Neurospora crassa OR74A: one gene and its partner. The protein of the gene in region 2 purifies or fractionates together with the protein of the main gene of each other region. This does not show direct contact. Links are inferred from orthologs where the notes say so. Each region holds a gene or a part of one and is shown on either strand. Other genes may lie near its edges.

What was found.
Region 1: the proteins of NCU00030 (region 2) and NCU02786 purify together in Saccharomyces cerevisiae (affinity purification with mass spectrometry; 4 studies listed by BioGRID, with this or other methods). This does not show direct contact. The link is inferred for Neurospora crassa OR74A from reciprocal best matches to the Saccharomyces cerevisiae genes NUC1 and YMR099C.

What each region holds. Positions count from the first base shown.
Region 1 is NC_026501.1:9,191,971-9,207,900, reverse strand, and holds NCU02786 (hypothetical protein), read left to right. Parts: upstream 1-6,002; 5' UTR 6,003-6,475; coding exon 6,476-6,733; intron 6,734-6,832; coding exon 6,833-7,213; intron 7,214-7,276; coding exon 7,277-7,681; 3' UTR 7,682-8,090; downstream 8,091-15,930. Other genes in the region: NCU10239 (hypothetical protein), read right to left, coding at 107-714, 842-955, 1,372-1,789; NCU02784 (hypothetical protein), read right to left, coding at 2,865-2,972, 3,029-3,295; aro-8 (phospho-2-dehydro-3-deoxyheptonate aldolase), read left to right, coding at 3,984-5,429; NCU02787 (hypothetical protein), read right to left, coding at 8,568-11,691, 11,745-11,917, 11,980-12,024, 12,083-12,111, 12,161-12,515; RIC8, read right to left, coding at 13,981-14,086, 14,152-15,457, 15,514-15,541. UniProt on the Saccharomyces cerevisiae protein: Catalyzes the interconversion between the alpha and beta anomers from at least three hexose 6-phosphate sugars (Glc6P, Gal6P, and Man6P).
Region 2 is NC_026503.1:2,339,128-2,354,839, reverse strand, and holds NCU00030 (mitochondrial nuclease), read right to left. Parts: upstream 7,381-15,712; 5' UTR 7,026-7,380; coding exon 6,027-7,025; 3' UTR 5,658-6,026; downstream 1-5,657. Other genes in the region: pex8 (peroxin 8), read left to right, coding at 312-2,543; NCU00031 (hypothetical protein), read left to right, coding at 4,388-4,405, 4,728-4,937; NCU00029 (ZIP metal ion transporter), read left to right, coding at 8,704-8,767, 8,851-8,981, 9,065-10,414; NCU00028 (S-(hydroxymethyl)glutathione dehydrogenase), read left to right, coding at 11,245-11,332, 11,582-11,636, 11,852-12,613, 12,692-12,784, 12,852-12,948; NCU00027 (hypothetical protein), read right to left, coding at 13,110-13,781; NCU00026 (hypothetical protein), read left to right, coding at 14,861-15,712. UniProt on the Saccharomyces cerevisiae protein: This enzyme has both RNase and DNase activity.

The DNA of each region.
Region 1 (15,930 bases), on a different chromosome or scaffold from region 2:
CGAAAAGAAGAGGAGGTAAAAGAAAAAGAAAAAAGAAAAGGAAAAACAAAAAGAAAAAGAAAAAAGAAGCAAAAGAGTATAAGTGAGAGGTGTGGGTGTGACGTACCTTCCCCAAAGACCACCCCAGCCTTTTACTCGCATACTGAATCATCAACAACTGTTCCGCCTGCTCGCCCATATAGTACAACCAGAAACAAAGCAACAGCAAAACCGCCTTGGGGTTTTGGAGAATCCAAGTCCCTGCCTCCTTTGCTTTTTCCAAGTACTCTTCCACCCGCCGCTGCATAACAGTCCTCTTGTTCTTCATGACCGTTTCATCTCCCTCTTCCTCTTCATCTCCCTCTCCCTCTGCACCAATCATCAACTCACCACCACCTATCTCATCATCGCCTGTCCCAGACGAAGAAGGCAACGTCTCCTCCACAAAAACCACAGCAACCACGTACCCCACCACCTGCACCAGCATCCCGATCCACATGGCCAACCACGCATCATCATAGGCAATCATCGCGCCGCCAATAGGCACAAAGACGAACCGCGAGACGATGGACGAAGCAAGCAGGTAGCTGAAGAAGGTGGAGCGTTGCTCGGGTGGGCAGACGTCAGCAACCAAAACATAGGCGATGCTGGTGAAGGTGGTGCTGCCGGAGCCGAGGAGTTGGAAGAGGCCGCCGAACCAGACGGCGCGGATGGGGAAGAAGGTGGGGAAGTAGTCTTGGGGAATGTTAGTTTTTTGTGTATTATTAAAAAGGTAGGTATGTAAAAGATGGGAAAAGGGAAAAGGGAAAAGGGAAAAGGGAAAAGGGAAGAGGGAAGAGACAAAGAAAAAAAAAAAACTTACAGACGAGTCGAACCCATGCTTCGTTTAGTAGACAGCCAAATAAAGCGAGGAGCAAGACTTTTTTGCGGCCGATGCGGTCGGTTAGGATCCCCCAGGGGATGGCGAGGGCGACGGCTGGAGTTTTGCATGTTGTTAGTGTTGTGTTTTGTTTTGTTTTGTTGGGTTGTGTGTAAGTTTTTTGTTCAACGATCATGCAGCGTGTTCCTTTCATGGTCATGATATCCCACTCAATTTATCACCCGTTCATCTTCTCTGCCCTTTACCCTTCCCACCCTCTTCTCTCTCTCTCTCTCTCCCTCTTTTTTTTTTTTTCTTCTTTTTCTTTTCTTTTCTTTTCCTTCCCTTTTCCTTTTTCCTTCTCTTTTCCTTTTTTTTCCTCTTTTCCTCTCTTCATCTCTGCCCCCCCCCCCCCCCCTGTTTCCTCTTCCCCTTCTTTTCTCCCCTTCTTCTTCTTCCACCTCCCCTCTCAACCCCTCTCCCCCCCCGAAGAAATAAAAAAAATGCATATGAAATAAAAAAAAAAAACCCACCAGGTAATATCTCAAACACATCCTTCCAAGCATTCACCTCCGCCACTTCACTCTGCACCGGTCCCACTTTACACCTATCATCTTCAAAATTCGTTGGCAGCCCTTCCATTCCTCCTCCTCCTCCTCCTCCCAGTCCTGCCCCAATTGAATCGGTCATTCCCTTCTCATAGTACTTTCTGCAGATGATCCCCTGGAGAATGGCGAGCGAGGGCGCCGTGGTGATTTGTACGCCCATGGTGAAGAGGAGGATGAGGGAGGCGACTGTTAGGAGGGTTGGATATAGTTGAGAGGAGGAGGAGGAGGAGGAGGGGTTTTGGTTTTGGAAGGAGGGGACATCTTGGGGAAGAAGGAGGGTGGTTTGTTCGGTTGGTGGGGTGTCGTTGGGATCTGGTGGTGGTGGTGGTGGTGGTGGTGACATTGTGGTGGTTTGGTGGTTTGTTTGGTGATGGGGATGAGTGATGGATAAGGGAGTTGGAAGTGAATAGTGGGATGAAGTAGTAGGAGACAAAGTTGAAGCTGATCAGGTCAAGGGCTGGGGAAGTGAATGGAGAGTGATGCTGATGAAATAAAAAAGAGTCTAAACGCCTGAGGTCAAATGAAGTGTTAGGGAATGTGGAGTAATGGTCAAACCTTAAATGAACCACAGTAAACAAATGATAAGGGGTTTCGCATCATAGGGCTGGATGGATTGGTGTTGTATTGGTAAGAGTACGTAATGCTGGGCCGGAACGCGCAAAGGACGCGCAATACTTGCTGGGGTTGCGGTGCGCTGGCACGGTATAGGATTCAATAGCGGTTTGTTGGATGCGGCTTAACAGAACCCGGAATGATATCAAGGTTGTATTGTCATTGGGTTCCGTCTTATGTCTTGATGGTTGCAAGTGAACCAGACTCACCCTTTGCTTGAGAAGAGATGACGGGAGAGACTAACCACCACGCGGAACAGAACACCGACCAGAGGCGTATCTACGACATGAAGCATTCATAGGGCCCTTCTCGGTAACCAACGGTTTCTCTTTGTGAGTATCATACATGATGACTCTACCATGAAAGAATTGTATGGGAGTATTCAAATGTACCTTTGCTTTGCCCTGGAGACGGGACGTGTAAGCGCTAGAACAGATGCGGAAGGTCGACAACTTTATACCAACTCTATTCCAGCAACCGGCCGCGCGTTTACGTCCACGTCAAGCAACCAAAAAGAACTTTCATGCCCAACATCGCTCCCGATTCAGTCGATATATATGATGGGCTGCCCTTTTTGTCTAATCCATCGCGCCCTGCCCCAAACTCCCTTTCCTGGCCCGGCCTATGCATGCCCATCCTCTGTCACAAATATGTTTTGGTCGTCGTCATTGCTGGAAACATGTGGTATAGTATGTCGCGTATAGCTCAAGTATACAAACAGATCGATGGGCGGCTATGGGGTCCTCAGACTGTAAATCGGCTTCATATGGTCTGTTGTTTGTTCTCTAACTGGGGAGTATGGTTTTTCAAGCCGCGGGGGCAGCAACATAGGCGTTGATGGCCTTGACAGCGTCGCCATCATGGGCCTTGAGCAGCTCAGTAGCCTTGGCCTTGGTGAGCTCGAGCTCCTCGACCTGTTTGATGCCCCGTCAGTAACCTGTCCCCCACGGCGATTACTAAAGACACTCACAAGAAGGGCGACATCGGCCGCATCGACCTTGACCTTCTTCACCTCGGCCTGCTTGCTGCCAGCAGTGCTGAGAGAGTGGAAAGCGTTTTGGACGGCATCCTGGTCGACCTGGGCGGAGGACTCGTCTTCGCGGTTGGAGTCGAGGCTGGACAAAGCAGCGGCGGCCTTGCGGTCCTCGGCGGACTTGGCCGTGGGCTGAACCTCTTCCTCAACGTCACCGCCAGTGGCGCCCTCGACGACGGCAGGTGGTTGTTTGTCCTCGGCCATTTTGGAAGTTGAAACTGAAATTGGCTGTGTCGGTGGAAGAGGAGACAAATGGAAGTCGGACAGACGTCGGTTGCTAAAGCTTGAAACAGGAGCTGGCTAGGTGCTGCGGCAGTGTTACCACTACTACATACTGCAGGGCTTCGCTGTAGAACACTTCAGTTGAGTTCCCGTCGCGACCAGTTGTGGGGGCGGGGCAGGCACCACAGCGTCACAGTGGGACACATTTTGGGCTTCTTTCTAACGCTGTTCTGTTATTGGTCAATTGACTTTCCCAAGGACTCCAACTACTACCTAAACTTTGGAGGGACGGTTTTGACACTTTGAACAAACACCGTGTGGTGGGTGCACTTCAGTTGCCACTGACTCACCACTCCAGTCCCGACAAGCCGAAAAGATATTTGAATAGGATCTTCCGTCTTCTTTGAAGTCCAGTCATGACTATCAACTACCACACACCATTCTTTACCACTCTCTTTTCCGAGAAAAGACCACCATAACAGTTGTCGTCGTCGTCGTCAAGACTTTAGTTTTTGAACATTGACCCACCTGTCCTTTCTTAGTCACTCGCTGTTACATAGAATACTAGACGTACTTACTGCCAAGACATCCTCAGCGCCACTTTGGCTTCGAAATTTCCACCCACTTACACAGCAACTTCCACTTCACCATCTTCAAATCCGTCGTCACCATGAGCCAACAAACGACACCAAACGCCCCCGGATGGGCGCCCGACTCGTGGAGATCCAAGCCCATCAAGCAATGCCCCGAGTACCCCGACAAGGCTGCTCTTGAAAAGGCCACCAACGAGCTCAAGACGCTCCCGCCCATCGTCCTCCCCAACGAGATCATCCGTCTTCGAGAACACCTTCGCGATGTTGCCCAAGGCAAGGCCTTCCTCCTTCAGGGTGGCGACTGCGCCGAGCTCTTTAGCTACTGCCAGCAAGACGTGATCGAGTCCAAGATCAAGCTTCTTCTCCAGATGTCGCTTGTCCTCCTCTGGGGCGCCGACAAGCCCGTTGTGCGCATCGGTCGCATGGCCGGCCAGTACGCGAAGCCTCGCTCCTCGCCTGTCGAGACCATCAACGGCAAGGAAGTGCCCTCCTTCCGTGGCGACATCCTCAACGGCTTCCACCCCGACGAGCGTGAGCTGGATCCTAACCGTCTCGTGCGCGCCTACCAGTACTCGTCAGCCACGCTCAACTACATCCGCGGCGCCATCGGTTCCGGCATCGCCGACCTCCACGGTCCCCTCGACTGGGGCCTCGGCCACGTGCGCGACCCGGCGCTCAAATCCAAGTACCAGGAAACCGTCGACCGCATCCAGGAAATGTTGCGCTTCATGCACACCATCGGCGCCGACCAAAACGAGAAGCTGTCGACTGTCGAGCTCTTCACCTCGCACGAGGGTCTCCTTCTCGAGTACGAGGAACCGCTCACCCGCCTGCTCAACCACCCTTCGGTCCGCTCCTACCCTCCCGACTCTACCACGCCCCCCAAGAAAGAATACTACAACACGTCGGCTCACTTCTTGTGGATCGGCGACCGCACGCGCCAAATCGACCACGCGCACGTCGAATACTTCCGCGGCATCGCCAACCCCATTGGTGTCAAGATTGGTCCCTCGACACCTACTTCGGACTTGCTGCCTATGCTGCGCACTCTAAACCCCAACCGCGAACCCGGCAAGGTTACGCTCATTACGCGCTACGGCGCCGACAAGGTGGCCTCTCTCCTGCCTGCGCACATCCGCACCGTCGAAAGCTCGGAGTACGCCCGCACCGTGGTCTGGCAGTGCGATCCCATGCACGGCAACACACAATCGGTTAGCGGCGGCATCAAGACGCGCAAGTTCAGCGACATCTTCTCGGAGCTTCAGCAGACACTACGCATCCACAAGGAAGAGAAGTCGTACCTGGGCGGCATGCATCTGGAATTGACGGGTGACGCGGTGACGGAGTGCTTGGGAGGCGGTGCAGGACTGGATGAGGATGACTTGAGTACTAACTATACGAGCTTCTGCGATCCGCGGTTGAACGAGAAGCAGGCGCTGGAGTTGGCCTTCTTGGTGGCGGATCATTATAGGCAGGAGAGGAAGGAGAAGGAGGCTGAAAGGAGAAAGTCCTCGGTGGTTTAGAGGGCTGCTTGCTTGAGGATGTGGAGGAGCTGGCAGATGAAGAAACTAGGTACTGAGGCTACTAGTGGAGGAAGTGCTACAACTATTGGGGCTGCTACAGCGAATGGGGCAGCAAATACAAAATAGGATGCGAATACCAATGAGGCTGCTACTACACCTAGTGCAGGTGGTGGTACTGGATGTGGCGGGACTGCTGCTTCGGAAACTCTTTTTTCATGACAGGCCAAGGTTGGAAGCGGCTGGCATGCCACGACGGGAGATGGCCCGTGGTCGCGATATAGATATTGTGTAGTAAAAGGGTGTATAGTTTTGTGGTGAAAATAGGGTTTCTCAAAATTCAAAAGTGCTATAGCGTCTTATTCATCTTCAAATTCATCTTCAAAAGTGTGGTGGTTTGTGAACGCAGCGTGTTTTGGAAACTCGAAGCCCAGGTAAAGTACAGGGTAGTCAAGGAGACGTATCGTGAGCACAGTGACGTACCTACAGTACACCGTCCGTCGTCGGGCTCCAGCAGCTTTGGTCGGTTGGTCACTGCACAGGGCATGTTTCAGGTCATGCAACAAGCTACTTACTGGCGAGAGAAGGGGGATGGATCATTTACCCCGCTGTCTTGTATCATTGGCTTCTTCATCCCAACCACCAACGAACTTGTCGACCATTTCTTCAATCTTACACTAGCACTCTGTCATTGGGCTGTATTGTATCCCGCGTCTCAGGTAGAGTGAGTAGTACTTAGGTGGTTTGCCCCTCTTCTGTGTACATACCAGAAGGGTTCCCCTCTTTTTGATCTTCCGTCCGATCAACTTGAAACATCCGACTCGAACTGACCAAGCTTTCCACTTTGCTTAGAGCCGGCTTCCAGCAGACTTATAGCTTATCTATCTTTACTTGCGTAGCGAGTTGGTCATTCTCGTTTTGTTTGGCCGACCTCGTTACCCCTCTTCCACTTCCGGTTCCAACTCTATTCCAATACCCTTCGACGTCCATCGCAAACCCCAACAACTCTCCCCGACCAACAACCCAAACAACCCATACCAACCGCAACGATGGTCGACCGTGGCCGTAAGCCCTCCGCCCTGGCCTCCACCCCCGGCCTCCCCCCGCAACCCCAAGTCGCCTTCTCGTCGGACAACTCTCGTGTGACCGCCACTCTTCCGACCGGCGAGAGCGTCTCGGTCCTGCTTTACGGCGCCACCGTCGTCAGCTGGAAGGACAAGAACGGCCATGAGAAGCTGTGGTTGAGCGAGGCGGCCAAGTTGGATGGAAGTAAGCCTGTGAGGGGCGGTATTCCCTTGGTTTTCCCGGTATGTTGTCCGCCGCCCTTGGTCATTTATTTCAAAGGAGGGAAGGAAGGAAGGAAAAAGGAAAGAGGACATTATGCTGACGAGAAACGGAAATAACAGGTCTTCGGAACAGCCCCCGACCATGCTCAGACCAAGGATCTCCCCCAGCACGGCTTCGCCCGCTCGTCGCGGTGGGAGTTCCTGGGCAAGTCCACTTCGGAATCGACGCCCACTCCCACCACCCCGGCCTTTGCTGCGACGGCCACCAGCGCTGCCGGAGCGGTGGCGGCTGCGGCGGCGGATTTATCTGTCAAGTTGGACTTTGGACTGAGCTCTTCGGGCTTGAGCGAGGACGCCAGGGCAAAGTGGCCGTATGCGTTCAATGCGATTTACAGCGTGACGCTGAACACGGATAGCCTGACGACCAACTTGGTCATTACCAATGACGATGAGAGGAGTTGGGAGTGTCAGATGTTGATGCATACCTATCTCAGAGTTAACGTATGTCCCCCTTTCTCTCCCCTCCTTCCTTCCTTCCTCCAACTAACGGACAAAAAAAAACAGGACATCACCTCCGTCTCCATCCACGGCCTCGAAAACGCCTCCTACGTCGACAAGACCACCTCCCCCATTTCCACCAGCACGCAAACCACCTCGGCGCTAACCATCTCCTCCGAGACCGACCGCGTCTACACCCCCGCCGGCGACGACCCCGCGTCCATCCCCATCACCGTTTTCGAAGGTGACCAACCCAAGTACACTGTTCTGCGGGACAACCTCGCCAACGTGGTGGTTTGGAACCCCTGGATTGAAAAGGCGCAAGGTATGGCGGACTTTGAGCCCAAGGACGGGTACAAGAACATGTTGTGCGTGGAACCGGGGGCGGTGGCTACGTGGCAGGTGTTGGAGCCGGGCGATGCGTTTGAGGGGGCGCAGACGATTGTTTTGGGTGGGAAGACACAGAATTGAACCCAGGATGCGTGGGTGCGGGTGCGGAGGGCAAAGTGGGTTAGAGAAGGGATGAAGGGGAGGTTATGACATCAAGGCAAGGGGATGGAAGTGGTAATTGGATTAAGGGAGGAAACGGAGGATGTACATGAATGATGATAAGTGATGACAGTGGATATGTGGCAGAAGGTGAGATAGTATTGTAGCTGTGGGGGCGGCCAGTTTTGCTGGATAGATAGACAGACAGACAGACGGCAATGACTATAGTAGCTGGACAAGAGCTCATGTATAGGAAGTGAAGGACGTGAAGAGTGATGGCAATGACTGAGAGAGGCTTACATCAATATAGCCACCATTTTCACTACACTGGCTTAACCTGCTCTTTATGTTCCTAATCAGTTATATAAAGAAATGCAGCGCTGACATGAACCTAAAAACTTCCGCTATGCTATGCTATGCTATGCTATGCTATGCTATGCTATGCTATAACCCAATATCCCAGACGCCCGGAACATCCCAATTCCTACAAATGCCACATGCCACGATGATCCTGTCTGTCTATTTGCTTATACAATATGACTGACTATCTTACAACTTTCCCTTCATCTTGCTCGCCCTTCTCAAATCGCCAAGCTGTCAAGCGTCCTTGTTCCGGGCTATGGTACTGGCTACCCAGCGAGGCAGTTACAACGTCCCTTCTCCCTCCCCCCTTTGCCTTGCTTAGTTTCCATCCATTACCCATAACCCCTCACCACCCCCCCCGTATCCATCCATCCATCCATCTTCTTCTTCTTCTTCTGTCTGCATTTAGGGATTTGCTTCTTTTCTTTTTTTTTTTTTTTTTTTTTTTTTTTTTTTTTCTCTCTTCATTTTGTTCCCCTGAATATGGCCGCCGCTCGGCAGTAGCTCAGCTACCCCTCGAACCTGAACCTGCACCTGACTTACCACCACCACCACCACCACCACCAGAACCACCACCAACAACCCCCGCAACACCCCCCAACTTCCCCAACAGCGCCACAATATTCTCGCTTATCGCCGGGAGGAGCGAAGAAGCACCACCTCCATCGGGAGAAGCAGAAGCAGAAGCAGAAGCAGAAGCAGAAGCAGAAGCAGAAGCAGAAGCAGAAGTGGAGGCGGAGGCGGAGGCGGAGGCGGAGGAGGAGGCAGGGAAGTTATCTCTGAGAATCGCTTGGCAGATGGCCATGCAGGTTGCTATGTCGTCTAGTGGGACTACTGCGTAGTCACCACCACCACCACCACCGTCCTTGTTGGAGGAAGAGGACGACGATGAAGGGGGGGAGGAGGAGGAAGAAGAAGAAGAAGTGAAAGAAGAAAGAGCGGGACGACCTTGGTTGTGGTGGATGAAGGCGTCGAGGTCGAGGGAGGGGGGGGTGTGGGGGCCGTTGAGTGTTACTAGTAGAGGTGGTGTGACTGGTTCTAGTACTTGATGGTGGTGCGTGGTGAGTCCGGGGGTGGTGGTAGGCGTCATCACTTGTTGGATGTACAAGCTTGACTTTTGATGCTGTTGCCCCTTTTCTCTCTCCTTTTCCCTCTCCTTCTCCTTCAAGTGCCTAGCATCCTTAGAACTAACACCACCCCCCCTCGCAGTCTGCAACACCCCCCACCCCCAAACCGCCAACCCGCCTAAATGCACCGCGGCCGCCCAAAACTCTCTCAGTTGTCCTTTCGGAAACTCCCTCGCGAACCTGAGGACCTGCCCCGCATGCCACAGCGCCTGTCGCGCCTCGCTACTATCCGCCCATCTTTGCAGGACCGGATAAATCCGTTTCGCTTGCTCTTCGCCTTCTTTTCCCGAAAAGAGCTGTAGGTCTTCTAATGACACATGGATATGCATGAGTAAAAGGTGGAGGAGGAGGAGTTCGTTAGGTGTTGTGTATGAATACAAGGGAGCTGAAGGAGAAGAGACCAAAGCGTGGAATTGGTGCAAGGTAGTGCGCAGGTCGGCGAGTCGAGAGATGAGGAGGGATTGCGTGGTGGTAGCATTGGGGTTATTAAACGGGGATGTAGGAGTGTAAGTGGATGAGGAAGAAGACGACGGTTGTCCGAAAAGTGGGCGATGGATCGATGCCAGCTGGCGGTATTCCCAGATCAGCGACCAGAAACCATGCAAGTAGATGGAGATGGCGAACTGGACGTCTAGTCTATGGTGATGCCGGACCAAGAGGTTTACATCCCGAAGTAAGTCGCCGAGACACGGGACTTGTTCGTCCATGGTAGAGGAGGACGAGGAGGAGGCGGCGGCGGCAGCTAACCACCGAGACTTCCACTCTTCTTTGGTGCGCGCGAACCAACATTCTTTCGGGCCCGGTAACGGCATGCGCATCTCCGCGTAGCTGATGCTGGGATTGCTCAGCTGCGTCATGCTCACTTGCGCGTCGCGCAGGTACGCATGGAACGCTAGTCGTTTCCAGGATTCCATCTCCATCCACCGCTTCCACTTATCTTCGAGCTCCTTGCCTTCGTCGGCTTCCGTCACTACGATGGAAGGGAGGTAAGCGCCGCGGGTGAATTTGCCTCGGCCGCGCATCATGGCGACGGGGACCGTCAGGTGGCATTCGGCAATCTCCATCTTGCGCCGGTTGCCGGACCAGACGCCGAGGTCCTGCGTCAGGACGAGGGCTTGGACGAGCCCGAGGTCCGACACTTTGGAGTTGTTCTCTTCGAAGCGGCCGGGGATCGAGACGCGGACGGCTTCTTGCAGGGCGAAACCGAATTTGCGGAGGGCGGGCACGGGCGCGAGGACGGCGCCGCAGGCGGCGGTGATGGCGAGCCATTCGGGGGGTTGGGCGTTGAGGGACCAGTAGAGCGCCGAGGGGGAGTGGTCCTTTGAGCCGGAGCCAGAACCAGAACCAGAAGAGGAGGAAGAAGAAGAAGGAGGAGGAGGAGGAGGAGGCAAATGACAAGCAATAAAACTCGACACGGAACATAGATGCGAAGCCAAAAAGATGTGGATCCAATGGTTGATGGACCCCGAAGAAGGAAACGAAGAGGCTACCCTGGAGAACTGGGACGAGTTGGATTTGCAGATGGAGAGGACTATGGAGAGGATCAGGTCGCGGCCCGAGGAGTGAAGAGTGTGCTGGTTGAGGGTTATTAGTTGCTGCTGCCCCTGAGAGCTGGAGTTTTGCTGCAGTTTGGTTGCTTTGTTGTTGTTGTTGTTGTTGTCGGTTGGTTGTGAAGGAGAAAGATCAGACGACTTGCGTTTGAGTGCCGATTTGGGAGAGAACGAGGGAGAAGAGTGCCCGGATGTTGGGAGAGGCAAGTGCGATTGTTCGGCGTAGACGTTATCCGTTCGCTGGGGGGTCCAGCGCCAGGGAGAGTCTGTCCATATCTGAGCCAGTTTTGGTCGCATGGCGGATATGTTCACGGGATCTGAGTTTTTTGTGCCTGCTTGACCCGTTTCTGCTGTGGTGGTTGTCGACGGAATTGGGCCTGAGCTTGGACCGAGCTGAGCTGGATCAGAAGAGGGAAGCGGAATAACAGGCTCGTCATGTAACCAGTAGTCCAAAAGCCCAAAGTCCATGGCATTCAGGTCAAGACTGGAGTCATCGCAAAAGTCAAGAACTGCCAGCCCCTGAGCCTGGGAGAGCGATTGGTCGTACAAGACGTCCCGAAGAAAGTCGGAAAAGGGGAGTTTGGCCATGTTGTCGAGCATGCTGCTGCTTGTGTTATTGTTATGGGGGTAAGTTGCTTGGACTTGAAAGGCTTGTTCTGGGTTTGGGTTAGCAGTCTGAGTCTGGTCCATCATCGTTTCGGGAGTCGGTATATGGGATTCTTCGCTTTCGGTGAGCATGGGACTGTGTTCGACTGGTTCCGAAGGGTAATGTGTGGAGAAGCCAGACGCATGAGGCTCGGAAATCGAAGGTCGTGGGTAATAGGAAGCTTGTCTATCCTCATGGTCATAACCCTCAGCGCGGTCGTGGGCGGATAGATGAAGGAGATGCAGAGCTGCGTCTTCCGAGGAGCCATATTCGCAGCTTATCCCTCGATTTTTACATCGTGTACATCTGGGTGTCGTCAGTAGTCGTTCACCTAATCCCTTTCAGTTGTAGGTACGCACGGCTTCGCTTCTTCACACTTCACTCTCGCCTTCGCACAAGCCTGACAAGCATGCGTCACCCGTCCAGCACCAGGCGAGGAATTCATACGTCTCCTTTTGGCTCCATTGTCATCTTGGTGGTTGGTGCGGTGACGCTTTAGGAGATCAGCTCGGGCAAAGGCTTTTGAGCAAACCTAACCAGGACAGTGTTAGTCCAAGTTCCAAGAAAAAAAATCAGCTGCGACAGCAAACATACATCGCAAATGAAACGCTTCCCAAGAGTATGGGTCGCAATGTGTCTCTACGCTTCGGTTAGCTACATTGCTGCGATACTTTGACTATATCCGTCATGGACATACCTGTAAGTGTTCAGGCCGAGAATATCGTCCTTGTTTATTGTTAGTATGCCGAATTCAAAAGCGAGCATTGTAACCTACGTAAACAGTCGGCACACTGATAAAGTGATTGTGTGTTGGAGTGACTCCTCGACAACGGTGGTGGAGGAGGAGGAGGATTATGAACTGGTGACGGCAGTGATGGTCGATGAGCTTGCGATGGAAGATGTGATGGCGGCGGAATGGGATGAGAAGGACCAGGAAAGGATAGTGGAGCAAGAGACAAGCCAGACCCAACCCCGGGCCGGTTGCCGATGGGACTGAGGTGGTGGATCGGACTCGGACCCGGATGTGGTTGATGACTGTGGAGAATCGAGTCTATACGGGGAGCTTGGCCCGATCCTTGCCGGTATGGAGGGTCCGGAGGATGAATAAGATTCCCAATGGGACTGGCCATGGTCGATCGATAGTGGAAGATGGCTTCAACACAGGTCGAGTGGCTTTGGATGTAAAGACGCTCTTAAATTGCCACTCAACAGCACTACCCTAGACAGTAGATAGCTCGGCTGTGGTAATAGTACAATGTCACAGGTGTCTCAAATCGAACTTTTGAGTACACGGTTGCTCGGTGAAGAAAGTAGGCAGATCCGGAAAAGTGGGAGAACGACGGGAAGGTTATTGACGGGTATATGGTGGCCGATGGGGTTGATATGCTTGGTGTTTCGTCTACACGTGTAAAGTTGTATGGGTTGGTGTCCAGGGGAAGGGGACGATGGTAGGTCCCATGTCTTTACTATTATTTAGTTGAACATCTTTCTACAAGCCTCCCGTTGTCCGACTGAAAACCTAGCCCAGTGAATTAGAATGACGCTTGGCACGACCTGGGCGGGAATAGCGATTAGAGAGTTGGTGCAGATAGTATGTATGTAGAGCACACCGGCCCCCGCACTAACGGCCATCTCAGCGGATCAGTAGCCCCCCCTGACGGTTCCTTAGACAACCCCTGTTCGGCTCGGATCCCATCCACTTACCTTAACCTACACTGACACAGGACCAAGACACTTGGATTTGTGAACATATCCACGGTGTGTTGAAGATCATTGCCGACTTGTCGGACTGATAGGAAACCGGCAAGTTCAGTTGTCTCGGCAATGTCAACGGACTTTCTTGGAATTGGAGTCTGGAAGGGGAGCAAAAGATAAACATTGAAGAAATTGGTCAGCGGAAAAGAAAGAGACCAAGACCTCCTTTTGTAGTTTTGACTCAGGTTCCTGGTTTTACCATGTCGAAATGCCCGTTGGAAATGGACGGGATATTCTGAATGTCTGATGCCGTACATATACTGGTTGTCCCTTTTCACAGTGTAGGAATCTGGGTACTCCCTGCAGTCACCGTTCCACTATTGGTGATCACACCTTTTGAACTGAGACAGAACTTGCCGTCCTAGGTGGGAGTCGTATACCTCCGCGGAGGAAGGCCTATTGAGCCATCAAGGGCATCATCACTGGTCGGTGACAAGTGGGTGGTGATGGTGATGCAGTGTGAGGAAGCAGTGCCGCAGTCTCCGGTACGCGGACATGCGGTGAAGGAATAACACATTGTCAGCCCTGCCATCTCACCGTAGCGGAGTACACTCCGGGCAAAGCGAATCATGTGCCCCTGAAGAGCCGACATCGTTCCACGAGGATCGACAACATGGATGCATCAGTTAGTGGAGGAGGCTCGAATGATGTGTGATGCGCGTCGTCATCCTCACCAGCATCAGCGTCGTCAGCTCTTTTTTTTTGTCGGGATTAAAACCGGGTGATATTGATTAGCATTACGATAGCATTGATAGACCAGCGTGGTGAGTTCTAGGTGGTCAGTCTGGGTCGAGGTTTTCCAGGTAGACTTGCAACAAAAAGAAACGTCGGGCCCTTTGCTCAGTCCGAATCCTCTTCGTAGTCGTCGGGCAACTCTTCGAAACGACCCTCCTGAACCGCCTTGGCAACAGGGTTCTCAACATTAACGATTCCCAGCTTCCTCGCCCTGCGAAGAGAAAAAGGGTCAGCTTTCGGGTTTTCCGACTTGACTGGAAAAATGCAGTCACTTACCTCTCAAACAAGACAAACAGTCTCTCGGCCTCACGCTCCTTCTCCTCCATGGTCATCTCGGGCATATCCGGGAACGTCTCGGTATCCAAGAACTGGCCAGTAATGGGGTTGACCGCCCTCCTGCTGCTTTGACCAGCCTGGGAACTTTCGCCCTTCTCGGCATCGCCACCCAGCCCTTCGGGAACCGGGATGTTGTTCTGGAACAGGAAGCCAGAAGCATAGCCGTATCCGATGTTTTCGACAAACTTGTTTGCGTCCTTGTCCGACACGTTGAACAGAAGGTGGGACACAGCTCTGGCAAACTCGGGAGCAATGGGGTTGGTCATGTTAGCTAGCAGCTTGGCGGGAAGGGTGTCGCCCTTGCCGAGAACCTTGTTGCGCTCCTCTTCTGAGGGGAGCAGGCTCTTGCGGATGAAGTCACGAACGGGAGAGTCGGCTGGGGCATTCTCGTAGATGGAAGAGATGATGCAGACTAGAGGGGTGACGGTTGCGTCGAGTTCCTGGTCTGAGTAGGCTTTGAGGGAGAGATCGAGAAGGGTGATGAGCTTTTCGGCAAGACTGGAGGGTGCGTCCTTGGGGTAGAGGCATGACCGTGCTTCCTCGGAATCGAGCTTGAGGTTCATGAGCGCATTGACCAGAGGACTGAGGGGAGACTCGAGGGGCGGTGTTCCCTTTGGTGGTGGGATATCCAAGCTGAGAAGAAGGGTCACTATATGCGGGACCGCAGCAGTGAAACAGTCCAGCTTGGATGGACATTTGCTGGTGACATTGAACAGGAGCCGTAGTGTCTCTCCCAGGGCCATGAGTTCCATGGGGTCCGGCTTGGTCTTGTTCTTGGCATGCTCGGAGATTCTGGAGGCGTGGCGGGCGAGGTTCGCAACCATGCTCTCAGCCAGGTGATGCTCATCGATGAGCTTGGCAAGGTCAACAGTGGTGCCGTAGGTGCTGAAGAAGATGACTCGGGTGGCCAGAAACTCGTCGTCCCAGTTGTCGTTTTTGAGCTTTTCGCAGGCCTTGGACTCATAGCCTAGGTCAACGAAGCGCTGTCGTGTCTCGGGTATGAGGAGCATGGCGTTGCAGAGCACACGGAGGGCATTCCGAGAGGTGGTTTCTGACGGCGAGTCGAAGGCATGTTTTGTGAGAGTCTCAATGCCTTGCTTGGTGAAAATGGGGTCGGCATTTCTAGGGTCTCGGCCATACACCTTGAGTTCCTCCAGGGCCTTGTCTCGTTCTTCTGGCGAGAGACTTGTGCTCTTGAGGTCCTCGGTCAGCTTATGAATGAGAGTGGTGACAGCTTGCAACTTGGCTGGATAGGTTGTTAGTTTATGGATGTCCAAGGTGAATGAATGACTGGTGACTGACCTGGCCCAGAAACTCCTATTGAGGCCATGGTGATGTGCTTGGTACAGTCAAAGGATTGAGTGACAATTTGACCGGGTTCCTTTTTGGGTGACCACTCTATGAAAGGAATACCTAATGAAGAAAGAGTGAAATATATCGTGACTAGGGCAAAGTGGTGGTGGTGGTTGACAGGTACGTAGAGAAGCGGACAGAAAGTGGATGAAGACTGACTTGTCAGGATGACCGAAGACGGTGAACACTGTACATACTCTACAAGTATAACAGCGGCCCCACCTTCCAGATTGGATGTTTGATCCCAAGTCGAAGACTTTGAGCTTCAATCAGCGCTTGACCGAGTCATCCAGTCTGATCTACTGGGCCATGTGTATTTGATTATTTCAACATTAATTAGTATGTTTGTCGGGATCTTCAAACCAG
Region 2 (15,712 bases):
TTACAGTACCTCGGCCCCCGGTAGGAAATAACGACGGTCGCAACCTTCCACTTCCATCAGGTCCCGTCTTCAATGTTTGTTCTTTGCCAATAGACATGACATGGTTCCACCGTGACAATCATCTCGATTAGTTCCCCTGCCCATCGCTGTCCTTACATACCGCCCCATTAATCTCTAATATCCCACGACGTAATTGACAAACGAAGACTTGCGACGGCGGCGACGACGACCACTACAACGACGACGACGACGACGACGACGACGACGAGCAGCACGACGAGAAGGGGCGACCCATCCACACGAAGCACGCCATGTCGGTCGAACGACTTCTGACCAATGTTCTTCGGTTATACCAGGACGTCCATGACGATGATCGCACCGAACAGTTATACTCGACCACCACCACGCTGCTGACCCACCTCTCCAACCCGCTCAACATCACCGTCCTCACCTCGCAACTGCTCAATGCGCCAGCAATATGGGAGCGCGGCGATGGCATGAGGGCCTGCTACCGCGTCATCAGTATCTTCAACAGCGCTGCCACCCACGTCCGCAACAAGGAGTTGGAGGCCGCGAAACTTCAAGAGCAAGCCAAACACAAGCAGCCGCCCCAGCCACTTCCACTTCAGACACACCCGGCACTGCATGGCCCGCCCGGGTCGCGAGCGTCACAAGGCCTGCCGCCAGGTTCGAGAGGATCTCAGGCAGGACCGCCGGTGCCACAGGCGCCACGCACAGGTGGTGGTTTGTCGTGCGATGACTGGGTATCAGCCGTCCTCAAGGGCGCAGACGACAAGTCCAGCAGGTGGCAGCATCTGCTTGTCTTCTGCGGTGTTCTCCTTGGCATGACAAGTCAGAAAGATCCCAGGAATCGCCATGGCCTGAGCTACTCGATGCGCAATACCGTCGAGCAAGCCTTCGTCACCGCTGTCAACCTTGCCCTCCGCCCCAATGAGCAACCACACGGACAACACCGCGAACCAGAGCCCCCTGCTCCCCCCGGCCCGATAGCGCTGGCCCTCACCTACGCCTTCCCACTACTTTCAAAGTCCTCTCGCCTCGCCCTGGACTGTGACGCTATCGTGCCCGTTGCTCTGAATGGCATGACTGGCGCAGATGGCTTGCAAGACGGCCTCTTTCTTTGCACTATCGATGGAGATCTCAAGCAATCAGGAAACCACTTTACTTGGCAAGAGAACTCCCCATCGGCTCTTCTTCTTCGCCAGCTTGAGCAAAAGCCGTTGGTCAATGGACTTGGACCTCTGTCAAAGGTCGTTGGATTTGCCATCGAACATGCGCGTGATACCAACGTTGTCTTGCAGGCTCAGAATGATCTGCTCACGTTTACCCAAAAGCTCCTGCACGAATGGGAGGCTAGCAAGCTCTCGGAAATCGAAATCTCCGAGGAGGAAGTATACCTCACCCAAGAGACTCTACAAGGTCCTTGGGTGGCTCTGTGGACGCTCTTGAGGAAGGTCATGTATGGCTCGGTAGCGGTGTTACAGACCATTGTGGCTCGCAGTCTGCTCGATCCTCGGATGAGGAATGATGCCATGGCACCCGTCGTGGCCAGCAAGACCCTCAAGGCCCTCCGCTACCTCTACTTCATCTCGTCTCGGAACGGAAGCGATGCCTTCCAGGTATACACCTTCACGTACCTTACGTCCGTTGACAACCTGGCGAGGTACTCGGACGCCTGTGCCAGCTTTCTACGCGATGCGAAGCCACTTAACCCGGGCACCATTCCTCCACATCCCCTTCACAGAACCCTGGACTTGTTCTACTTGAACGTTGCCGAACACCTCCCCCTTAAGCTGACACCCGAGGACTGCGATTCGCTCATTGTGCAACCGGCCATGGCCTACCTGACTCACTCAACCCCCCTCTCGCCACGCATGCTCGAGTTGTTCGAGGCAGCACACAGCGCCGTCCTTTCGGTTCTCTCGTGCCCACATAACGCACCCGTCACCGTAAAGCTCGCCCCTTTCTATGCCGAGGCGCTGTTCTCGGCCTTCCCCACGCACATTTCACCGCGCCAATTCCGCCTGGCCTTCAAGACCTTGATGCAGATCCTTTCCCCCCCGTACCCCATTTCGTCAACCCACCCACAGCTGGCTGAGACACTTTTAGAGATGGTCCGTTTCCGCATAGGTGTCGCAAGCAAGGTGCCATTGCCGCCTCCTGAAACTCAAGTCCAATCGGCCACTCCCGAGCTACCCGTGTCTGAACAGAGTACCTTGGTGATGACCTTGATAGATTCTCTGCCGTTCCTCCACCTCCGGATCTTTGAGGATTGGCTAACCCAGGCCGCTCATGCTGTGAACCAGATCGAAGACGTGGCCATGAGGGAGGCTGCCAAGAGACGGTTCTGGGAGATCCTGGTCAGCGGAGAGATGGACGTCGAGAGATCGGCTATTGGTGTTGCATGGTGGGGGACAAAGGGAGGCAGGCAAGCCGTTCTCTATGGATCTCAAGGAGGACTTCCTGACGTGCCCATGATGAGTGGTGCCATTCAGAACAACATGGACCGAGCCAAGCTCTGATTGTCTGTGTCTTGTTTTTTCCTCCTGCATATGGAATAATGACATTTTTCTCTTTACTTCAGTAAAAGGCATGGAAGTTCTCAGTTCTCAAAATAATATGTCGATACCCCCTTCTTTTTGCCGTCCAGTAGTCAACTTTCTCGCCTGCCTGCCGCCCCGCCGGCTTACGCGGCTGGTCGTAACACTTTGCTCAAACTGATACGACTTGTACTCCTTTCTTGCCCAACTCTCTCGCCTGGTCATCGAATTGAACTCTCAGTCGCAGTTGCGTCAATGATGCCGTGGGGCGTGGCACGCCCAGCCTCTTAGTCTAGTATGGCAGCGTCATCAGCAGACTGACCCGAGGCTCCTATCGACTTTCAATGTTGAAGCCATGAGGCTGGATTGACGACCGCTTTGCTTTTGCAAACAACAATGACTTGGTCATTTTCTCATGCGCACCCACGACTAATACAGTGCGTATCTCGCCCGCATAACATGTGAGACTCACCGTCCCCCAAAGCGGCCTGTTATATACGGCGGTAGGTAGTACACCGACCGAGCCTTTCATTTCCCTTCCCCCCCTCACCTTTCTCTGGTCCAATTACGGGATCTACGGCGATGATACAGTCCAACCATTGTGCCTTGCTAGAAGGCGTGCGCGGAACAACCAATTCTGTTTCAGTCTCGCTCTTTTGTTCGTTCTCTCTTTTCCCCTCACCTCACTTGATCGGGGGGATGGTGTCGGACAGTTCTTTGACCAGAACATCGAGGCGAGCGAAGCCATGAGGGAACCACATGGTTTGATGTTCCTGACCGGTTGTGTGTCCGCGCGTCAACTTGTCTCGGATTTTACTTGAATAAGACAAGAGGAGAAGAGCGGGAAAGCAAAAGGCGGTAGAAAAGGAGATTACGCAGGCATTTGATTATACATAACGACTACTACAGTACACGACAGGTACACCTTGCTGCCTGGCTACCTCTTTTCGTTGGACTTGAGGATGGCGGAAAGGCGGTTGGGACGGGGAAAGGAGAAAAGTGACCGCAAGACCCAAAAAGTAACCAAAAAAAAAAAAAAAAAAAAAAAAAAAAAAAAGAAAAAGTTTAGAAGAAAAGAGAAGTACCATTTTCTGCTGCACTAGAGGCATTACAAGGAAGGATTTTGCTCGTCGGCAAGGCGAAAATGAAGGCGCGTGAGTGAATGGTAATCGCGTTTGAGCTTCCACCTGAGCTACTTCAGAGTCCAAACCCAAAACGTGGGACAAGTTACCTCTACCGTGCAGTGAGTATATCGAGGTAACCGGAGACACTTCGGCAAGAAGTTTGAAGGCGGCAAGCGGTAAGATGACTGGAGGGGAAAGGAGGATGATGGCATGAGACGATTTCGACGTGGCCTCCTCCTCTCGCCTTGCGGTCGGTTGATGGTGGTATCGTCTGAGAAAGACTTGGGTGGGCGGTAAACGACTCGTGGAAGGGCAAAACGGGAAGAGATGGGTATGATTGTGGTTTCAAGGAGCAAGGAATGGTTGCGGTGGTGTTGCGCGGAATCTGTTCTTTTGTGTACAGTGGAGAAAGAACTTGCTTGGTTGTTTAGCGGTAAGATGAAAGCGTTTGGAGAGGCGAAGGTTACTCTGCGAACTTTCTTGGATGGGAAGAGGAAGGAGAAGGAAGAAGGAATTCAGAGGACGAGAATTTTGGACGGAAAAAAAAGTATAAGTATGAGGGAGTCGCCGAGTTGCAAGAATGAAAAGATCTAAAAGAAGAGCATTGAGAGTCTTATATCCTCATCTGCATGATATATCCATAGCCTTCTACTACAAGCACCATTCAACCACTTCTCTAACCTACTTCGCAACTCTATCACCATGTCGTCTTACGATAACGTACGTTGCCTATCTCCTTTTACCCAATCCTCTAATCTTCATGATCATTCACAAAAGACACATTTTTGCTAAGTCTCACATCTGTCTTCTCCACCACTCACAGACTCGCGAGGAGACATTCGTGAGGCCATCATCTCATATCCTTTCATCCTCAGCATCCTTATCCTTAGCATTTTCATGGTCCATCCCACTCCAATTCCACACCAACCCTCACCAGTTTTTTTTTACACAGAACCTCCAGCCCAACCACAGCCATATCATCATCTACCGCACCAGACACCCCTTGCTAACAGCTTTTCCTGCCCCTTATTTTTGCGACCAGACCTCCGGCCAAGACACCACCACGGGTGGCACCACCTTCCCAGGTAACGAGCAAGTCCCCAAAGATCAGACCGGGGCCACCACCGATTCCAAGAAGGACGAGTCTAAAGACTCTAGTTTCAAGGATGAGTCCGCGAAGGACCAGAAGCCCGAGGAGACGGAGGCTTCGACTACTACGGCTTATTCCAAGAAGAAGTACCAGTCTGGTTAAAGACTGCGGTCTATGAAGATAGAAAGGGGGGGTAGTTGAATGGGGGTTGGTATGTTTACATCAACGTTGATCACCTATGTCGGTGGTTAGGGTCATGACTGACTGACTGACTGACTGACTGACTGACCAATAATGCTGATCTTCCATCCAGATGGCTATCGCAGCCACAACGTACCATGTAGACATGGATACCGATACCCTGTGGTTGATGGTTGACGTTTTGGGAATGGATGGATTCGTTGATCAGAGCGGTGTGAACGTATACCCAACCGAGACAAGATCAGATGAACAACATTTGGAAGGCGGGAACGATGAACAAAGGAAAGAGAGAAAGAGAGAAAGGGATTACGATCGTTTCGCGACTGTGTGTGGGTTTAACTTCGAACTTCCTGTTTGGCTAGCTTGATGTTGTCGGGAAAGATAGGTACCTCGCCGGTGCTTGAGTGAGGAACCTTGATCAGATAGACAGACGACTTTGAGTTGCCTGGTGGGCATTGAATATATCACCATGGTTGCTACCCCCTAATCTGCTACTAAGGTTGGCTGTGGAGCTTTAAACCTCTTCCCTACGTTATGCACTGATATCATGCTTGGTTCACTGTACGGGCTGTGATCAAGGATGCCTTGGTGTCGATAAGTGCTTGCCTGGCGAATGGGCTTGCCGTCATATATCAGCTCGCGAAAATGAGCTCTGATTTGGAAGGCACACCGCAGGGCTAAAGGAGTAGAAGCGCACGTATGCCTGATGTCCATATGCAGTTGACCGACCAACACCTTTAACTGAACCCTGTCAAGTTCGACTTCGGACAGTGTTCCCTTTCCAATGGGGGTATAATCATAAAACGCTAAACTATGCTCATGTATGATGCTATGCACAACCCGCCTGTATGCAAGTACAAGCCTCACAGCGGCCTTCCCCGCTAGACTCCCATTTATCGACCTTATCCCCAACCTTCGTCACGGCAAGAAATCGAGGTGTACACAAGAGGTCATCTTGGGTGATACCGTCCTCGATACAACCATCATTTTTCTCTCTCTCTCTTTCTCTCTCTATTCTCCCCCCCTCCCCACAATACCTTTGTCATCCCCCTACTGCTTCTTACCAAACGACTTCTGCCTCTCGGCATAGTCCTTGACAATAAGGGAGCAGTTCGCCTCCGCACACAACCTCTTCCTCCTCTGTACCGGCAGCTTGCTCGCAAACTCGAGACCGCTCGCCCTCTCGACCGCCTCCAGGGGCACCTCAAAGTCCTGCAGCGGCTTATCGTTGGGGATCTTGGCGTTGGGCAACACGAAAGCTCCTAGCGCAACGTTTCCTCCCTTCTTGCCGTCCTCGGCAAAGATGACCTTGTAAAAGTGCGTCGGCACCGCCACGTTAGGGGGCTGCCCGATCATCTCGTACTTGACGTACCACTTGTTGTCGCTGGGGTCGCGCTTGGGCAGGTACAGAGGTCCGGTGACGATGCGGACGGAAGGGTACTGCTTCGTCAGGCGACGGCAGAAATCCTCAAAGTGCGCCCAGTAGTCGCGGTTGAAACCCTCGCCCACCTGCGGGCACATGTTGGACAGGTAAAAGGTGTCGTCCATGGCGGCTTGCGACCACTTGCAGTCGGCCGCGGGAACCTGGTGCCCGCGATCGAAGCCGGAGCGGAAGTAGTCCTTGAGCTTGCCGCGGAACTTTTCGGGGATCGCCTCGTCTTCGACGAAAGTAGACTTCTTGCGGTCGCCTTCGGACATGGACAGGGACTCGGGCGTGATGTGCTCCACCGTCCAGTGCGGGTTCTTGGTGCGGCGGTCGTACGAGGACACAAAGCCTTGGCGGGTCGCGAGATCAGCGACGGGGCCCGGGAAGCCGTACTCGAAGAAGGCCGAGGGGTCGACAGGTTTATAACCGCCGGCGAGAGCGGGCGCGCTGAAGACCTGGCTGGCGGGAACCGGACCAGGCTTGGAAGGGGCAGCGGGAACGGGAGCGTTCAGCGAGGTGGTGTCGACCTTCTTGTCGCTCTTGAGGGAGAGCATAGCGGCGGTGGCCGCGGCACCACCGGCGGCGCTCACGGCGGCAATGACGGCGATGGTAGCTTTCGACATGGTGACTAGCTGTCGTGGGGTTGCCCTGCTGGATAGACTGGATGGGCCTGCTTCCTGTCGGGGTGCGCGCAAGGGGTACTCTCCGCGGCTTTGAGGCGAGCGAGGTGCTGAGGAGATTCGGACAAGGGAAATTGCAATGGTGGAAAAGTTCCAAAGCTCAACTTAATAAAATTTCCCACGATCCGCGACCCGCGACTTGCGACTCGCGCCCCCGCGGCATCTCCAAGGGACACCCGAGGACCCAGTGACCCCGGCTCCCCCGAACGGTTGGTGACACGGCGACGGAGTGGGGAGGTCCCCACCGGGCAACTGGACGGTACCACATCACAAACACATGCACTTCATCTGATTCAGCTGGTGGGCAGAGACTTCGAGATAGAATGCTGTCCAGTCCCTTCGTTGCAACTGATATGGAGCATTTTGCCAACTGTTCCAACGCATTGACAGGTTGGTAGAGGTATGCAGTATAGGTATTTCAGTGCTCTTTTTCGATCTCGGAAACTCAGGGTCTCTTTGACTGAGCAACCCTGACTAGCCCATATGAGACCTGAGAAATATGCTAGACCAAACAGCATCTATAGATATCCATCAGAAAGCTGAATTGTTGAGACTCATGATGGACAATTGCTCATGACAGCTACCAAACAAAAAAGAGAAACAAAGTGGGCCGAGTCCAAATCGGGGATCTGTGGTCTACATATGGTAGGTACAAGGCCAAGAAGGAGACCTATGATGGCATCGATGATAAAGATCCTTGTTGCTTTCGCTGCTTCTTATCACGAACGGACGGTCCTTGTTAAAAAGCCTGCGTGAGCTGCAATTGTTCGCCTTCCCAACCTCAGCCTGGATATCTCGGTCCAAAATCAATCGACTTCTTCGACGTCAAAACCGGCAGTCCCTATCAACTTGCGGCACTGCAGTCGACACCCAGGCATCCAAGGCTGCAAGTTCCCTCCACATCCGCCCTGCATCTTGCATTGTCTTCGTTCTCCGCACTCGACGCCCCAGGCACCTGCACTCCATTGTACCTACCGACCGAAACAATACTTATCTGACCCATTGACTTCCATTCTTCCATCCAATCTGATCACCTGCTTACCTTCACGACGCCAACAGCCCATTCAGGGCCGGCTACCGTGTGCCAGCAAGGTCCTCAAAACTAGCGCACACTGCACTAGCGAAGTTTTCGATCTCCAAGCGCCGGTCCGGATCAACAATCTAACCCCAGGCCCCAAACCCGCCGCCCAAGAGCGGGCTCCAATTGATTGTCCTGTGTCTTATATTGTCTGGGCTGGGTGTGTGTGGCCGTTGAGGTTCTCAACCACGACGGGACCTGCTAGCTACCTAGATTCTCGCCTGCGTCTGATCTTGCCTCGCTGCCTTTTCCCATCCAAACACCATCTTGATCAAACTTGTGAGGCTCGCTCGTCCGTCTGACTCCTGTTGACGCCAAGGTCCCTTTTTGGTCATTCTTGACAAATATCGGACTATATTCAGGATTTCTACTGCAACAATTTGACCGTTCCCCGTTGCTACAAGTACAGTTATCGATCGCCGTCTCCCCTCCATGCCATACACGCCGTCATCACGGATAGCAGAGACTGCAGCAACCGACTACAGACGGGCGGCGTAAAGCGACAATCCGGCAAACTTGCATCCTCACCCAATTCCGGCCACGATGCTTACAACCGCGATCGACAATGACACCCGAGGGTGGATTTTGACCGTCGTGAGTGGCTTGGGTTCGTATCCATCACCCTTCGTTGTATCGATTATGTGTGTGGGTTGAGTTTCTCGAGCATCCAAGCTGACGAGCAATCCCTAGCATGCATTCTTGGATCAACTATCATTTGCGTCGATGTCCCCATCCGCTTTTTCAACATCAAGAGCAAATTTAGTATACAGGGGAGCAATGTCTTCATATCAGGCTCTTTGAGTCTGAGTTTTGGGGTTATGGTTAGTATTCTTCAGACCTGGCTCTAGTGGCTTTCCTTGACCTTGCAAGAACCACAGCGAGTTAACTATTGAATGTACCACAGATATTCTCGGCCTTGTTTAGCATGCTTCCGTCTGCTTTGCGATACCTCACTACGGACGGGCGGGACGAGAAGACCGCAGGCCTCATCAACATGGGCTGTTACATTGCTGGCTTTTTCGGCATTCAGGTCGTCTCCCGAGTCCTCCATCGATTTATACCCTCCCACGTTGTTGGGTGCGACCATTCCCATAACCCACACGCAAATGTGCAACATCAGCCCCATCATGATGATCATTATCACCAGCCGCCTTGGGCGAGCCGTACCCATGGACAGTCCGTCACGACGCTATCCTCGGAAGCTCCAGAAACACCGACCATGGTCGAAGTGAATGGGCATGCGACCGAATCAACTCCCCTGCTACCGACCGAGACCGACCACGAGGCGCAGTCAGTTCCCCCAGTGAGGCCTAGTCTTTTTGGTCGTTCACATACCGTTGGAAGACAGGCCCGCAGCACCAGCGGCATCCAAAGCAGACGCCCATCCGTACGCCAGATGACGAACAGAGTACTATCATTTGTTAAGGATACCAAGCTTCACTGCGATGGCGATGGCCCGTGTTTCGGATATACGGATCCTTGTGGGCAGGAGTGCTTCAGACACATTGGTGCACGCTCCATCCCCCCTGGGCGTCCCGCCACCCTCCCAGTCATACGTTCCGGAGAGTCCGTGGGTACTGGCGAGGTACCAGATTCCCTCAACAGTCCCATATACCAAGTACGGAGTCGAACTTGTTCCAGAGAGTCGTCTGTCGGTTACGCAGACCGTGCCGACCACGATGGACCCCACGATGACCATGACGGAGAAAATCACGACACTGGCTATTCAGCAGTAGAGGAGGATATCGAGGCTCAACACCATCATCACGTACCGACAAACGCCTTTCTCTCTATCGGCCTGCAGACTGTTATAGCCATTGCGCTTCACAAGTTTCCTGAGGGCTTCATCACCTACGCCACCAACCATGTGAACCCTTCGCTCGGCTTCAATGTTTTCATGGCCCTGTTCGTTCATAACATCGCCGAGGGATTCTCCATGGCCCTGCCGCTGTACATGGCGCTGAACAGCCGGTTCAAGGCCATTGCCTGGGCCACATTGCTCGGTGGCCTCAGTCAGCCGCTGGGCGCCGGAGTCGCAGTGCTGTGGTTCAAGGTTGCCAAGCACAGCAACATCACGATCAACGGCACAGCATATGGATGTTTGTTTGCCGTCACTGCGGGTATCATGACCAGCGTGGCACTGCAGCTCTTTGGGGAGAGCTTGAGCTTGACCCACAACAGGAACATGAGCATCTTCTTTGCTTTCCTGGGTATGACTCTGCTTGGGGTCTGCGACGCCATTGCCGATGTGTAGAATGAGGAAACATGCGACAAAAGGTGTCCCCTTTTTTTGAATACGTTCATAGACGGAAGAGCACGGAGCTAATAGAACCATCTTGTATCACCCGTCTTGGTTGTTGGCGTTCTTGATTGGATCAGGGGACGTCATCGCACGAGTTTTCACGATAATGACAATGGGGAACAAATACAACGGTCGGACACGGGGCGTTTTGGGGAACATTGGACATTGAAGATTGGAGAAGTCATGAATTTGAACATGGGAAAAGGGGGCGGCGGGTTTATTGCTAGCAATGAAGTTTGTGATATGGCTAGTAACAAACCTCTTGAATATCAATTACCAAGACGTCGACCCCTACTTAGTGCCAAAACAAGGAATCTGAATGCCACGAACTACTCCACTTAAAGCCGGTGCTACTTGGAATTCTGACCCCTCACAAGCCCGAGTTTTCCCCTCTTCGGACTCCTCCTACGATTCTCCGAGATCGCTCGCTGGAGCAAAGTCGACCACCCAAGTATAAATAGGTGTGGTCACTGGTCACTCTAGATCTAACCTCGGGATAAACACTCAGACAGCCGGCCGATCGGGTATTAGTTCCAGCGGGTATGTTTCAGTCGTTCAGTGTACTACACTAGTCAATGAGTCTTCCTAGATGCATGAAATCAGAAACGGAAACTGAGGGGAAACTGAAGTCGATCACAAAACATGCGACATTCTAGACATCATTAGCACCGCCATTGTTATCCCCTCTGCCACACAATTTCTGGACTCACCACTAAAACACAACCGCACAAAAGTTCAACAAGCTAATTGGCCTCTTGATACCAAGAAATTTAGAAACAAAAATGTCGACAGAAGCAAAGAAGACTATGAAGGCCGTAGTCTTTGAAGGACCCAAGAAGGTTTCTGTTCAGGAGAGGCCGATTCCTGAGGGTAAGCCTCCCGCATCTGGTGTTTTCGCTCTCCACCACCAACCACTCCAAGATACATACATACGGTGGTCTTGATCATGCTAGACTTATATTTCACACTGAGCACAAACTCAGTCAAGACCTTCCCCAGATGGCATAACGAGTCCCGAGTCCAACTGGGCACACTGACTGCAAATCATCATCCTCTACAGCACGACGGAGTTTTTTGTGTGTGACATGGGCTAACGTGAGTGCATGAATGATTGAACAGTGCAAGATCCTAGGGACATCATTGTCAAGGTGCAGATGACTGCTCTGTGTGGCTCGTAGGTTCTATCCTCTGCGCTTGGTTTCCTAGGCTTAGTATAACATGCTACACACCTCACCCAGTATCTCACCCCATCACGACCTATCCTCCCTACCTCCCTTCTCCGTTTCCCCTCTCCCTTTCACCTGCCTCACTGCCACCGATCAATCCCCCTCTCTCCATCACCAAAAGCACACCCCTGACCGACCACCGCTAACCAACAACTGCCCAAAGTGAACTCCACACCTACCGCGGCCGCGAGGCCTCAACCCCAGGTTTCATCATGGGCCACGAATTCACCGGCGTCGCCCACGCCGTCGGCTCCTCTGTGAAGACCATCAAAGTAGGCGACAAGGTCGTCGCCCCCTTCACCGTCTCCTGCGGCACCTGCTTCTACTGCCTTCACGGCTTCTCCTCCCGCTGTGCCTCCTCTTTGTTGTTCGGTTCCCCCGGGCTCGACGGCGGACAAGCCGAGTACGTCCGCATCCCCCTTGCCGACGGGACCGCAGTCGTGGCCCCGCCCGAGATCGAAGATGAGAGGGCGTTGGTGTTGATGGCGGATATTTTCCCCACGGGATATTTCGGCGCGAAAAACGCGTTTAAACTGATGCATGACCTGAACCCGGAGGAGGCGACGGTGGTGGTGGTGGGTTGTGGACCTGTGGGGCTTTGCGCGGTTGTATCGGCGCTGGAGTACAAGCCTAAGCATTTGTTTGCTGTGGATTGTGTGGAGAGCAGGTTGGCGTTGGCGAAGGAGCTGGGCGCGGAGCCGTTGAACTTTGCGGAGGTTGAGAAGGGAGGTGTTGGGCTGGAGGGGATGGTGAAGAGGATTAAGGAGGTGACGGAGGGGAGGGGCGCGGATGCGGTGGTTGAGGTGGTGGGAAGCAGGCCGGCGCTCAAGACGGCGTATGAGCTTTTGAGGCCGTTTGGAGTGATCAGCAGTATTGGTGTCCAGGGACACTATGATTTACCTTGGTCGGGTGAAGATGGGTATAAGTAAGATTTCCCCTTCGTGCCTCGTCTGTCTCGTGAGATGATGGATAATGGATGGTTTGGCTAATCTCCCGGCAACAGCAAAAACCTGAGAGTACAGATGGGCCGATGTCCGGTGCGGTCCATCTTCCCGGAAGCGTTGGAGGTGATGGGTAGAAACCAGCACAAGTTTGGGTAAGCACCAATATATGTTGGTTTGTACAAATGTTGACACAAGATGCTGACCTTCTGTCGTCTATAGCTTCATGTACGACAAAATCATGCCCCTCGCCGAGGCTGTCGAGGGATATGATCTCTTTGATAACATGAAGGTACAGAAGGTGATCTTCACACCTTGAATAGGAGCCATGATTTCTTCGCGCCGGAGATGTCATACGCATGAGTAGAGTACGTCGGGGAGACCAAATAGCCTAGCCATCTACAAGTACTTCCATAGACAGACAGACAACTACCGCAATGCACCGACGGATGCGGAACTTTGGTGTGCCTGGTAACTCTCTCAGTTCTGTCTAGGCTTCACGAGGCCGTTGTGCATCCAGTAGTACGTAACAGTTGAATCATCTTGGACGGTCGCGAGCAAAATACGCTTGCCACGCTTCGGGCCCCTCCATAACTGCCACTGGGCATCCTCGTTGGCGTTCACAGACTCGCCTCCGGGAGGGAGGGCCGTGATGGCATCAAAGACGGCCGCGAAGTCGCTAATGGACCATTTCTCAGCCAGGTGCAGCGGAAGAACCCATTCCAGCTCAGGCTCCTGGGGAACACGCTGGTTCAACTGCTTCTCAGCCCTGATGATGTCGATCTGCTCATCGGGGTGCACATAGAGGCGCTTTGGCGGGAGTCCATAGATGAGAGGTCGAGGGAGGTTGTCCTGAATGTGTATCTGGACCTGAGTCCAGTCGTGTTGATTTTCCAGGTTGTTCACCACAACCTTTGTGAGAGCTTGGAGGTGTTGGTCGGCCGACATGTTGGCAACAATGGTAAGACAGTCTTGCGTTTGGGGTGACTGACTGACTGACTGACTGACTGAATGAGATGGTTGTTGTTGTTGTTGTTGTTGTTGTTGTCTTGTCGATGTGGGCCGAGCAAGAAGCTTGCCCTGATGTCCTGTCCCGTCTTGTTCATTTTCGCGAATCTGTTTGTCCGTTGGCGGGGTTGATCCAGACTCCATTTTTAAGCGGGTCTCAACCACAAGGGTACGACCTCAAGGGACGCAATCAGCAGGGGTTCTCTATCAGTATTGGACAGGAGGAAGTGGGTCACTGAGGAAGATCAGTCGAGCCTGGAACATGGAGGCCGCTGAAATACGGCAGTATGGACAACTTTTGTTTCGGATGTTTTTCCCATCGACATCTCATTTTCACATCACCTCCCGTCGACACGACACATTCGAACACTTTTTCCCGAATTACCTCGTAACTTTGAAGCTTTACTGACACATGCGGCATGACATCACCGCTACGTCGGCCGTGTTTTGGTCCCGTCAAGCCATCTCACAAGCTCCCAATGACCATGGAGTAGGCCGAGATGACGGGAAAGGTTCACCAATGAACTGGGGACCCAAGATATTTTCTGTTGGAAAAGGCCGTCTTTCTGGGTTTCTGGAGGGTGTGTCACGACGGGGCTGAGTGTCTGCAGGTTTCTGGGGGAGCTAAGCTCCGGCTATACGCGTACAGTATGGTATAGGCTGTTGGATTGAGGTCTGGCCCATCCCGTCACTCGCCCCCCCCCCCCCTAGTCGCCGTTACCTTGGGCGGTTTGTGGTTATGTCGACTTCCTCGCTTCCTCCCTCCTTTTCTGCCCCCTTGAGCAGCTGCATCACTAGTCGGTGCGTCCTGTACACAAGTAAGGTGACCCTCCTGTGTCGTCAGTTGCAGGTACCGTGCCCTTTGCAAGGGTGCAAGTTGGTTCCGGGACCAAGAACTTAAATCTGACGACGAGTGCTATCGGGCCCTTTGACTTCTCGGCCGCCCCTTCGCTGTCTTTTCTCTTTCTTTTTTCTTCTTCCTCATCCTCTCCTTCTCTAGGTACTAGTAACCTTGCCCACATTGACTTTGGTCTTGTTTACTCTGAGAAACCCCCACATCTTACTCTACTTTTACATCGTTTGTATCTTACACCACTCTTGTTTTCCCAGAGCATTACGAATACCAAGTACACATAATTAATCTTTAGTCACCCCCGCCACGCTTTGATAACCGCGCCCGCCAACAGCCCCCTTCGATCAACGGCTTTATCAAAGAAGCTGCGATGGTTCAAAACAACCATGTCGCAGCCGGGAGCCTGAATGGCACCAACGATAATCCATCTCCTCACAAGGATCGAACGACGGAGAACTTGAAACCCGTCACATCAGAACAGCCACTCGTAAGCCGCCAGGTCTCACGACAAACCGACACCACGAAGCCTCCTCGATTATCGGTAGATGATGTTACCTTAGCAGTACCAGCAGAACGCGACATCGCAGAAACAGACCACACACGGCCTTTTGATAATGGCTATCACTTTCCGCCCAAGTACTCCTGGCAGGAGTCCACAAAGCAAGGGCTCTCCTCGTTCTGGAAGTTCTTTACAACGCCAATGGGCTGCTTCTGGACGTTCTATGGGCTCAACGTGGTAGCTTGGGGTGGCATGTTGTTCCTTTTGCTCTGTAACGCCGCGCCGGCCATGTGCCATCCGACGTGCGACGATATCAACTCGCCGAGGCGAAAATGGGTTGAGTGGGACTCGCAAGTTCTCACGGGTCTGTTCTGTGTCACTGCGTTCGGACTGGCGCCATGGCGCTTCCGGGATCTCTGGCTTCTGATGAAGTACCGCATCAAGGGACAGCAGGAAGGCCTTCTAAGGCTTGCTGGGATTCATAGCAGCTGGTTTCGTCTCCCGGGCACGGAGGAGCTGTCCCCGGATATCGGACCAGACAATCTCCCGGCTGATGTCCCCAAGCAGTGCGTTCCCATCCCGCAGGAAAAGATGCCCAACGCACCACTGACGGGCATTCGAGCGCCGGCCACCAAGGTTTGGAAGATGGACTTTATGATATGGTGCATGATTCTCAATACCTTGGCTCAGGTCGGCCTGTGTGGTATCATGTGGGGTATGAAC